3 linked regions of the Lepisosteus oculatus genome follow. The protein of the gene in region 2 interacts with the protein of the main gene of each other region in a pairwise test. Links are inferred from orthologs where the notes say so. Each region holds a gene or a part of one and is shown on either strand. Other genes may lie near its edges.

Evidence for each region.
Region 1: the proteins of trim59 (region 2) and zdhhc22 interact in binary tests that used the Homo sapiens proteins (3 or more experiments, as listed by UniProt). The link is inferred for Lepisosteus oculatus from reciprocal best matches to the Homo sapiens genes TRIM59 and ZDHHC22.
Region 3: the proteins of trim59 (region 2) and nrm interact in binary tests that used the Homo sapiens proteins (3 or more experiments, as listed by UniProt). The two-hybrid records come from large-scale screens. The link is inferred for Lepisosteus oculatus from reciprocal best matches to the Homo sapiens genes TRIM59 and NRM.

Annotation. Positions count from the first base shown.
Region 1 is NC_090703.1:9,774,820-9,778,570, reverse strand, and holds the start of zdhhc22 (palmitoyltransferase ZDHHC22), read right to left. Parts: upstream 2,728-3,751; 5' UTR 2,490-2,727; intron 2,068-2,489; exon of another isoform or gene 1,865-2,067; intron 298-1,864; 5' UTR 296-297; coding exon 1-295. UniProt on the Homo sapiens protein: Palmitoyltransferase that could catalyze the addition of palmitate onto various protein substrates and be involved in a variety of cellular processes. Catalyzes the palmitoylation of KCNMA1, regulating localization of KCNMA1 to the plasma membrane.
Region 2 is NC_090708.1:6,005,479-6,009,229, reverse strand, and holds the start of trim59 (tripartite motif-containing protein 59), read right to left. Parts: upstream 3,004-3,751; 5' UTR 2,927-3,003; exon of another isoform or gene 2,747-2,926; intron 1,168-2,746; 5' UTR 1,157-1,167; coding exon 1-1,156. UniProt on the Homo sapiens protein: E3 ubiquitin ligase involved in different processes such as development and immune response. Serves as a negative regulator for innate immune signaling pathways by suppressing RLR-induced activation of IRF3/7 and NF-kappa-B via interaction with adapter ECSIT.
Region 3 is NC_090709.1:40,369,806-40,373,556, forward strand, and holds the start of nrm (nurim), read right to left. Parts: upstream 2,236-3,751; 5' UTR 2,169-2,235; coding exon 2,012-2,168; intron 166-2,011; coding exon 1-165.

The sequences.
Region 1 (3,751 bases), on a different chromosome or scaffold from region 2:
AATGGGCATCCACCCGATCCGGGCAGTCGGGCGAACACACGGGCACCACGCTCTCGTTGGCGCTTTCTGCCGGATAGCGGATGGTCATGACGTAGTTGCCCAGCGCGTTCAGCATTAGGAAGAGGAAGATGGCGGCGTGGAGCAGCGTGGATGCGCTGGGGCGGGCCCCGGGTCTGTCAAAAATGGTCGGTATGAAGAAATAAAAGTGCAGGGCGAACGTGACCACCGTGGCTGTGAAGAAGTAGGCAGGAGCGATGGTATTGAGGAGCTTCAGTTTCAGCATCTTGAAATACATTCCTACCGGGGGAAAAAATAAAGACGTGGCGCTAGTAATTAAGGCATACACCGGTGAACCTCCTCAAAATAAGGAACGAGTCCAGGTTTATTCCCTGCTGAAAAGCGAAGAAAGGAAACACAACGTCTCGACTGTGGAGCCTTCTTCGGGTGTACCTACTTGAAAAACCTCCTCAAATAACGCGTCTTAGAAATATACGGGCATTGTGTCAGACATTGAGACCCCATTGTGATTTTTGAATGTGGGCATCAGAGATGCTTTGTCTTGAAGTGCCTAGTGTGACAGACCATGCAGTGACCTCCCAATTATTGTCCTTCTCTCTCTGAAAGTCCAGACTTTCAGATAGAAATATACGAATGTCTAAGAGTGTAAAGAGTTTGCTTATTGCAAAGCCCCGTAGGTGCAGCACTGTTTGTTTGTTTGTTTTTTCAGACAAAGTGATATCAATGGTATTTGTGGAACAGTTGCATTTTGCTTTGTAGGCAGGCACTGTACAAGGTATCTAGTGTGATAGATAATCTAGGGAATGTGTACAGTAATTAGGACTTAACAGTATTAATCGGTACATCTAAACGTATGTACGTAACACTTATATGAAGTCAAAGCTGCTATTATACAATTTTATCGCACTGGTAACGGATTACTGAAACGAGCATTAACCATAAATACTAGAGGGTTACAGTGACTACATAGCCCTGAAAGGTGTTTCCAGTAAGAAGTAGATATGTTATAACTCTGCATGATATATTTAAATGTGTGTTAATTAACATTTCTTTTCTACAATTAAATATTGTGTATATTAAAGGGTAAAAATGTGTTGTTTAAATGAAGTATCTGATACACTAAACGGATGATTTCAAGTAGTCACGACAATGATGCTTGTAAAGAAAACTCAGCCCAGCGTGCAGACATGTTTTGAACCAATTTAATTCAGAAGGAACATATTCGCATTAATATCTGGAGAGAAAGAAAATATATGTCAGGTGAAGCCGTAGAGTGGTCATTTTTCGATTGTTTTAATTATCAAAGCAAAAACAGTGACTCCAAGATCATTGGCAGACCCAGAAATCACATATCTCATAAACATACTGCACAAGCGTTCATTAAAAATTAAATTCCTTTTTCGGCAATAAAATGTTTTGTTGTAATAAACGGATACCCCGCATCAAGTGGGAAAATTGTCTCTAGAATATAAATAAGAGTTACTCCTTATTTAAGCAATTAGCTGCTTATACTGTACATACCGTACGTTTAATTAACAATTGTACTGAAAGCAACCGAATGCGTTTTGTCCATTACTGCTGTTTACTCCATCTCAGTCTTAATTGTTTCCATAGCCGTTAGCCAGAAATAGAGCACGGACTCTATTTCTCTATGTTTTTAAAAAGATATCTTCTTTCTAACGCCGGTTTCGTGTTGTGCAAGGTTACCGCAGCGCATATGTACATCAGTAATAACGAAACACCGTAATGTGCAACATTTGACATACAGAAGCTCACGAGGGGAATGCCGAACGAGCATCTCGCTTCAAAATAGAGTCTAACCCGAAACTTTAGAAAGGACCTTCACCTTCAGTCGGCTTCTGTGCGGCGGAGCTGTCCTTTCAGCACCAGGGCTCGGCGACACTGACGAGCAGCGAGCTCATTCAACACAAAGAGATTACGTGGCGTCAAGAAGACCCAAGCTTTTCCTCTCTGTCTCAACGGCGCTGTCGGCGAAATGTCTAGCACCGCCTGCTGGTCTGGACGCTGGACTCTTAACTGGAGTCTTGATCGCCTTGGTCGGCTCCAGTACTAGGCAACTCAAAGTGAATCTACGAGGTACAGGAAACCCCGATCAAAGCCTGCTGTGAAGCCTACGTCATTATCCCCCCCGTTTTATTCACTGTAAGATGATCGTTTTTACCAGATTTGATCTCAATCCTTCAAATAATGCGATCTTGTTCAAATATTTCCCCTTTAAGATCGTTTAATATGAGAGATTTATTTTTTTTTCTATTTATTGATTTTGTCCAAATTATTTAATAAATGACCATACGAGTCTTGGGTACGGCTCTTGTCCGCCTCTCCATCTCTGTCGGATACTGCAGGAAATTACATTTCGGCCAGCAGGTGTCAGGCTTTATTTGTGAAGTCTATGCCAGAATCCCAGCATCACAGCTCAACCCATTTATTTTAAAATTAGTCACTCTTACCTTTACCTGCCGAACACGTTGAGTCGAGTTAATGACCAGCCTCTGTGTTTCCAGTGATGTATCCAGTATGTCTGCAATAAGAATATATTAAATGATGGAATTGCTATTGCTTTCGTACAACTATTGCAACGGTGTTTTTAAAATCCTCGGTCACGATGTAAAATGTTTATAACTATATATCAGTTGTTATTCGAATTCCCACTTGAGATATTAGAGCTCACTGAAATTCCAGAAATGAATAACAGAGTTCCTGTTCTAAATACGGCGAATGATTTGAGGAGTCGCCTCGTAACTGCGGCGTCGCATTTTGAAAACTGGGCTCTTGTGGGTGATCCCTTACTTCGACTCTGCTATTGAGTTTACAGACGGTCCCTAAGCAGGTGGGAGTTCCTGTTGTTCTTGGTGCTGATGCAGAAAAAGCCTGGCGCATCCTAATAGGAGAACAGAAAATAGGACCAAGGGTATAGGTAAGAGATTTTAATCGTTTATTATAACTCTTAATTTGTCTGATAGTCACGCTGTATTCTTAGAGATTTTCACAATGCGCTTCTTATCTGTGGGCGATTCAACCCATTATGTTGAAGTTGCAGCTTTAGAAAAGTGGGTGGATCGTGAAGTGCAGCAGTTATATTAGTACTGCAGTAGTGAAGACAATAAAATAGCTTGGAACAAAAGCACGGTGACAGCAGAAAAGCCTTACGATGTAAATGAAGCCAAACTGCGGGAGTGTGGTAATGACGTTACCCCTATGCTTCTGTTATTTTTGTGGACTTGTGTTTTTTGTAAAAACAAATGACTCCGCCCGTTGGGGAGACTACGGGACGGGACGTCTACTCCATAATGGGTAAATGCATAATCATTAAATTGCGTTTTTTACTCAGTGTTTAAGTCACTGAGTGTCTCCCTCTCACGCACAGATGCTGTAGAAACACTGCGTGCTTACACATACAGTATACGGGCTGATGGTGCAGTATCTAGGAACCCCTCGATACATGCTGTAATAAGTATTTGGCAAGTCTCTTAGACCTCAGCGTCATTCTTCTGAAGTTACAGGCACGGCGAATTTCAAATTTCCTGTTATCTCCTGCCCAAAGTCCTGTAACAATAATCGTATTTCCCTCATTTCATAAAAATAGCACTTAGTGAAACGTGCTGTTGATTTTTGGAAGACGGATGCTAACAAAAAGCTGGTTTTACGGAACCAGCCCCATCAAACTCCATTCTGTAAATGACGGGATGGGAGAAATTCGCATACAAACCTA
Region 2 (3,751 bases):
CTGACTGGAAATAAACAGCCACATCCTTCCCTGAATAGAAAGGGGCAGTTATTTCACACGCATAATTTTGAATCATTTCATTAATTTGATACATATCAGAGTACCGGCTGAGCTGAACGCCAATCAGTGCGCTGCCCAATAAAACCAAGAGCAAAAGCAACACCAACACAGACCTACTGACATACAAAGCTTGTAGTCTGTTGAAATTTCTGGAAATAACTTGGCCCTGACAGTGGTTAATTTGTGGTATTTCCTCTCTTTCAAGGTTCCCAAGAGTAATCCCAGACCACTTGTGTTTCAGATATTCCCCAGCCCTTGGATAGATGTACAAGGGTTTAACAACTGGAAGGGGTGCTTTACTCAGAGCTGCAACTCTTTCTCGGAAGATATGAACCTTCTCCAGAAAAAGAAGGGGAGAGTCTTCCTCCTCCACTGCTGCACTGTACGACATGAGCTCCAGCTGCTCCTCCTTCATGTCCTTAAGCGTCTCAAGCAGTGGGTCATACTCACTTGAGAGCTTAGCGCCTGCATCATCAAGAGCAGCCAGGAACTCCCGTTCCTTCTGCGCCAGGGTCCGTTTAATCTTCTCAAAGTACAGCACCACGGATTCTTTGTCTTGTCTGATGAGGTTTTCACATCCAGCTTTCTGCTGCTCCAGCTTTTCTGCTAACAAGGAAACCTCGGCCCACCGCTTATCAGTCAGCTGCTCCACGAGCGTCCCTGGAGCCTCCTGCTCTTTCATGAAGGCTGCCTGCAGGTCGTCAATGGCATGACCCCGATGCCGCCCAATGGTAAGACAAACTCCGCAAATCAGCTGACGATCTTGGAGACAGTACACGTTCAGTGGTTGCTTTGGGTGCTCCTGGCAGGAGGGAGGTTTGGACTGGTCGTCCCTTTGAAACTTCTCTATGATAGCTCTGAGAGACACATTGGTTGGCAAGGCTTCAACCCCTGTTGGGGGCAGTTCCACCATATTTCTGCAGTGGGGGCACTTAAGGGGGGTTCTCAACGGCCTCCAGATAGAGAAATTGACAGAAACCTGGAGAACATTTTCCAAACAGCCTTTACAAAAGGTATGGGAGCACGGCAGAACACGAGGGTCACTGAACAACGAGTAGCACACTGAACACGTGAGATCCTCCTCCAGACTTTCCATGCTTTTTTATTCTGTAAAAAAAAATGCACTACGTTAAGGCGTACCCAGTATGCCTGCATGTCTGAAGAAAGGTCTTTAGCGATCTGTACTGTGCCTGCCAAGACACTGCAAGTCTTGGTGACACAAAACAAATATCTGATCATCAAACTACTGAAACAAAGACCAAAAATATAAAGTGATTACCCACTGAAACCGGTCTGGGTGTATTTTTTTTAAACACCGCAATTCAATACAATTCTTTGTATAAGTAAGTTGATATTTCTATTTATAAATAATGATCAAATACATTAATATAGATCAATTTTCCAAAACCCAAGTACAAGCCATAAGTTAAGTGCAATTAAAAGTGAAAAAAACAACTAAAGAGAAACACACAGGATAGGATGTAGGGCAATGAGACACAGTACCCAGTAAAAAAAAAAAGTGAGTTTTGAGTTAGATAACAGTTCTTTAAAACGTTTTCGTTCCTGGAAAATTGAACGACCAGTTAACCAAAGAGCCTAATGAATTACTGTGCAGCTGTTTCTATAGGAATGCATATGTACATGAAATAAAGATCTAAGAGACAAAGTCGTGTATCCTCCGAGGACAATAAAAGATAATGGTGATCAACATTTCTTAAGAAGCTGGTGCAACAGGTTTAAATTGTTCAAGCACTACTGATATTTCTTCCCAGCGACTCTCCTACGGGAGTTTATTGACATTTCGCAGCAGGCTGGCTAGACAGTGTCATCCCTGATTCTTTAACGAGACTTGACTCGGTGTTCAGCATCAAGATGCCACTTAATCGCGTCATGTAAATTGAATCTTTATCATTCACAAGCCATTGTAAGAACTATTTTTGCCCCGAGGTCATATTGGCAATATCATTCAGACATCAATTTATCATGAAAGACCACCGAGAGTTGTCATTAACAGGTCTGTTGTTAAGAGTACGACAGTGCCGATTCTTACAATCTGATCATCCACAAGGAAACGACATTTTCACAAATTCACACGACTTCGGATAAATCCGCACAAAGATACTCGATTCAGAGGCATTAAAACCCTTGGTCTCAAGATGAATAATATCCCAGACATTACCCGCTGTCGGTAAGACTGATACAAGCGAGAATAAATGTGAGATTTAGTTGACAAGACAAGGTTCAGGAGCAACGTCTGACGAGAATTAAAGAGTTTTTTAAAGTTTTAATTACGCACTTCTTGAGTTGAAAGCGATTAAACTCGAACGTCAACGGTAATTGTAGCTTGTTCTGACTTTTACAGACAACAGGCTATTGTGAAATATACAACAATTGACTTTTCGTTATTTTCTAATACATGTTAAACACAAATTAGCGGGCACCTTGATTTATTAAATTAATCTAGTTTTAGGCTTGCTCATCGCTCTACTTCAGCATTTTTTTAAAAAAGTACGCAAATCCAAAACGTTATTTCTTCTCCGCCCATATATAGATATAAAACTAACAATGACCGGTTCCGCTGCTCGGAATACAAAGTCTTTGTGCGGTTTCTTGGAGGATAAAATAATATATATATTTTTTTAAAAAATTGCAAGTGATTATCCAGAAATATCCGATTCACTCCAACCTGTGTTTCAAAGTTGCAACACCGAAGGATCACCGGGCTTTTCCACAGCGCCTGCAACCCTGGTCATTCTTCGAGGTGGACAACTTCATTTTAAAGTTTCATTGCGACGCTGTCGGCGGAGAAGCTATCTCTCACAACCCCTTCGCAGACATAAATCCGAAGTCTTCACCTTCACCTCACCTGTTTTCAGTCGTGCGGTCACACACACACAGAGAGTCCCGGGATCTTCCGCACGGCCTCGGCCCGCACCGTCTGCGCAGGCGCGCTCGTTTCGAACCGCAGCCCGCCAATGGCGGCGACCCTCCACAGGCGTTTAAATGTAAATCAACGTGACGCGGAAAGAAAATCACCCTCCAGCGCACCTGCCAAGAAACGTACTGCACCCGAAGGCAAATCCGGCGCTGGGAAAGGTTACACCGGCATCGGCTTGTTGAAAATGGGGATTGATTTGGCAGGGAGGTTGCTTGCGCTGGGGCCAGTAGTCTCCTCCAGCTTCGTCGAGCCCCATGCTGAACTTGAACTGCTGCAACTGGAACAAAACTTATCTGGGAATCTGTGTAGTAGGTGCAGTTTTTTTTCTTCTGACGTACATTAAACAGGGAAATCGGAATAATACAATCTTCCATAGGGTAGGAGTGTAGGTCAAGCTTTGGGACAAAAAGATTGCACAGCTTTGTGCTTACATTTTTGTGGAACTTGGATGCGAACTCATTTTTCAACAGATAATGTAAATTAATACTCCTGCGACCAGTTTCGAGATGTATAATAGATGTAAGGTGATAACTAGCACGGTAGATCTTCATTTTAAGTTATTTCAATACGGGTTTAAATGTTCTTAAGTATTGAAAACGGGCAGTAGCTTGACTAATCTGTTTAGGTGAGGTATGACCACAAAACCGTAGTTCTAAATTCAAGAGAGTGAGAAAGCTTCTAACTTGCATTTTATTCAACTCCCAACTCGCAGGCCACGGTGTGTAAGGAAGACAAAAAAGACTACACAAATGG
Region 3 (3,751 bases), on a different chromosome or scaffold from region 2:
AGAAGGCTCTGTTCATGACGCCCAGCACCGCCCGGCAGGCCTGCTTCACCGGAGCCCAGGCGAGGGCGCTGTGCTGCAGGGCGAAGAGCAGGACCAGCCCCCCGTCCACACACAGAGCCCTGACCACAGCCTGGTCACGCAGGGCCTGTCCCCAGGACACTGAGTCTGAGAGAGAGAGAGAGAGGGGTTCATACACACACACTGACTGGACACTCCAGGACATGAACACTGCACTGAGAGAGAGAGGGGTTCACACACACACACTGACTGGACACTCCAGTACATGAACACTGCACTGAGAGAGAGAGGGGTTCAGACACACACACTGACTGGACACTCCAGTACATGAACACTGCACTGAGAGAGAGAGGGGTTCAGACACACACACTGACTGGACACTCCAGTACATGAACACTGCACTGAGAGAGAGAGGGGTTCATACACACACACTGACTGGACACTCCAGTACATGAAGACTGCACTGAGAGAGAGAGGGGTTCATACACACACACTGACTGGACACTCCAGGACATGAACACTGCACTGAGAGAGAGAGGGGTTCAGACACACACACTGACTGGACACTCCAGTACATGAACACTGCACTGAGAGAGAGAGGGGTTCAGACACACACACTGACTGGACACTCCAGTACATGAACACTGCACTGAGAGAGAGAGGGGTTCATACACACACACTGACTGGACACTCCAGTACATGAAGACTGCACTGAGAGAGAGAGGGGTTCATACACACACACTGACTGGACACTCCAGGACATGAACACTGCACTGAGAGAGAGAGGGGTTCACACTGACACACTGACTGGACACTCCAGGACATGAACACTGCACTGAGAGAGAGAGGGGTTCATACACACACACTGACTGGACACTCCAGTACATGAACACTGCACTGAGAGAGAGAGAGGGGTTCATACACACACACTGACTGGACACTCCAGTACATGAACACTGCACTGAGAGAGAGAGGGGTTCATACAGACACACTGACTGGACACTCCAGTACATGAACACTGCACTGAGAGAGAGAGGGGTTCATACACACACACTGACTGGACACTCCAGTACATTAACTCCAATTATTTGATACATCCTTCATGCAAGTGACTTTAAATGGTGCAAAACGTTTTTTAAGTCGTTCAGTTAAAAAGCAGACCGCCCAACGTGGGGCTCGAACCCACGACCCTGAGATTAAGAGTCTCATGCTCTACCGACTGAGCTAGCCGGGCTGGTGTGAATATCCGGCGACGTGTTCTTTTAAATGAATGCAGCGTGTCGTGACACGATCACCGAGCTGCGCGCAAAACACAAACACCAGTGTGTGCAGCGTTTGCGCGGAAGATAAACAGCAGAGCAGGAAGAGAAGAGAGCCTTTTTTATTACGAGGTTTCACACCGACTGTATTTACACCACAGGGAAACATCTGCCTGCCTCTCTTAAGCAGAAAACAAGTAAAAGATCCGAGTAGCTCCAGGAGAGCTTTTATTGATTTCAGATGGATAGATCCTGCGGCAGCTGTCTTTTTTATATATGTATATAATATTATTTGACAATTAATTACGAATAACTAATCGGTCGACCAGAATAAAATCTCAAAACACGGAATAATGGCGGACCACCTTCGAATCGCTTCGTAAAGACGGCAGGAAAACTGAGCGATATATCACCCCCCTACTTCATTTATTTTTTAAAAAGGCAGCGATTTGTGAAAGTGTGCACCACCCACACACACACACATACAGTGACCTGGCGCAGGCTGCGATCACAGCTCATGCATTTCTCGTATGAAAACGGGCGCACAGCGAGAGCAGAAAAGGTAAACACCGCCGCCCAACGTGGGGCTCGAACCCACGACCCTGAGATTAAGAGTCTCATGCTCTACCGACTGAGCTAGCCGGGCTGGTGCACGCAGCCCCCTGACCCCCGAGTTTTTCTTCATCGCAGACAGCTCGGGAGTGAAGGATAAACGTTCATACACACCCACCCACCTACACACACCGGGGCGCCGCCCGTCAGGTTGCGATAAATCGCCCGGAACGACAGGAAGCGCACGAACTCGGCGCCGGTGCCGAAGACGAAGACGAAGTTGAGGAGGGTGAGGGCGGCCAGGCACAGGCTGGGGAGGGTGACGGCGGCGGCGGCCATGGGCGTCAGAGAGAGAGGAGACACACACACACGCTCACGCACGCACAAGAAGAAAGGAACCTCCTCTCTCTCTCTGTGTGTCTCGCCCAGCCCCTTCCGCCCAGAGCGGCGCTGCAGTGAGGCCCGGCGGCCGCCAGGGGGAGCCCTTGCGCCTGTGTTTCCGCCCAGCGGCGAGACACAGGAAAAAAAAAACCCGAATCACAGTCTCTCTGCATCCATAAAGCGGGCTTTTAAAATAAGATTTTAAACGAGCCGGGCCCTCGCCGCTGTCAGGACCAGAGGGCCCTGCGAGGCTTTGCCGAGATCCGTGAGCGAGTTCGGGACCGGAGCGGCCCGGCTAGCTCAGTCGGTAGAGCATGAGACTCTTAATCTCAGGGTCGTGGGTTCGAGCCCCACGTTGGGCGGCGCCGGATTATTTTCTTGCTCAATAGCATTTCGTTATGCCATATGAGTATCATGCCAATGAACTTGAACTTGCTCTGGCTGCGGGGGGACTCACGGGAAACGTTTTCCAGCTCTTGTTCCCGACGGGATTAATCTCCCTCGCTAATCTCCCCCGTCCACACACAACTCTGACGAACGCGACGGCTGTCTCTGGGGGCGAAAGGACCCGGAAACCGGGTTTAAAACGCTCAAGACGCGGCGTTTCCGGCCTTGTCCGAGTGGGCACCCCTCCCCACGTCATCAAGCACTTGATTCTATACAGCGCCTTTCAAAGGAGGCTTCACAGAACGACAACAGCATGATTCATCATCCAGGGGATCCCCATGACCTGTAAAGCGCTTTGAGTGGAGTGTCCAGAAAAGCGCTATATAAGTGTAAGCAATTATTATTATTATTATTATAATGTCTTACACTTATATAGCGCTTTTCTGGACACTCCACTCAAAGCGCTTTACAGGTAATGGGGACTCCCCTCCACCACCACCAATGTGCAGCATCCACCTGGATGATGCGACGGCAGCCATAGTGCGCCAGAACGCTCACCACACACCAGCTATCAGTGGGGAGGAGAGCAGAGTAATGAAGCCAATTCATAGAGGGGGATTATTAGGAGGCCATGATTAGTAAGGGCCAATTGGAAATTTGGCCAGGACCCCGGGGTTACACCCCTACTCTTTTCGAGAAGCGCCCTGGGATTTTTAATGACCACAGAGAGTCAGGACCTCGGTTTTACGTCTCATCCGAAGGACGGCGCCTGTTTACAGTATAGTGTCCCCGTCACTATACTGGGGCATTAGGACCCACATGGACCACAGGGTGAGCGCCCCCTGCTGGCCCCACTAACACCTCTTCCAGCAGCAACCTTTTTCCCAGGAGGTCTCCCATCCAGGTACTGACCAGGCTCACACCTGCTTAGCTTCAGTGGGTTGCCAGTTGTGAGTTGCAGGGTGATATGGCTGCTGGCCATAATAATTATATTATTATTATTATTATTATAGGAGTTTATGGTGGGCTCTGAATACAGCAGAAGCAGAGGGGGTGAAGACCGGAAGCCGTTCAGGAGAGGCTGTCCCGCAGAAGCAGGCTGGGAGTCTGTGTGTGAAGGAGTTTCAGGGAAGGGGCTACGAACCACAGCGCGC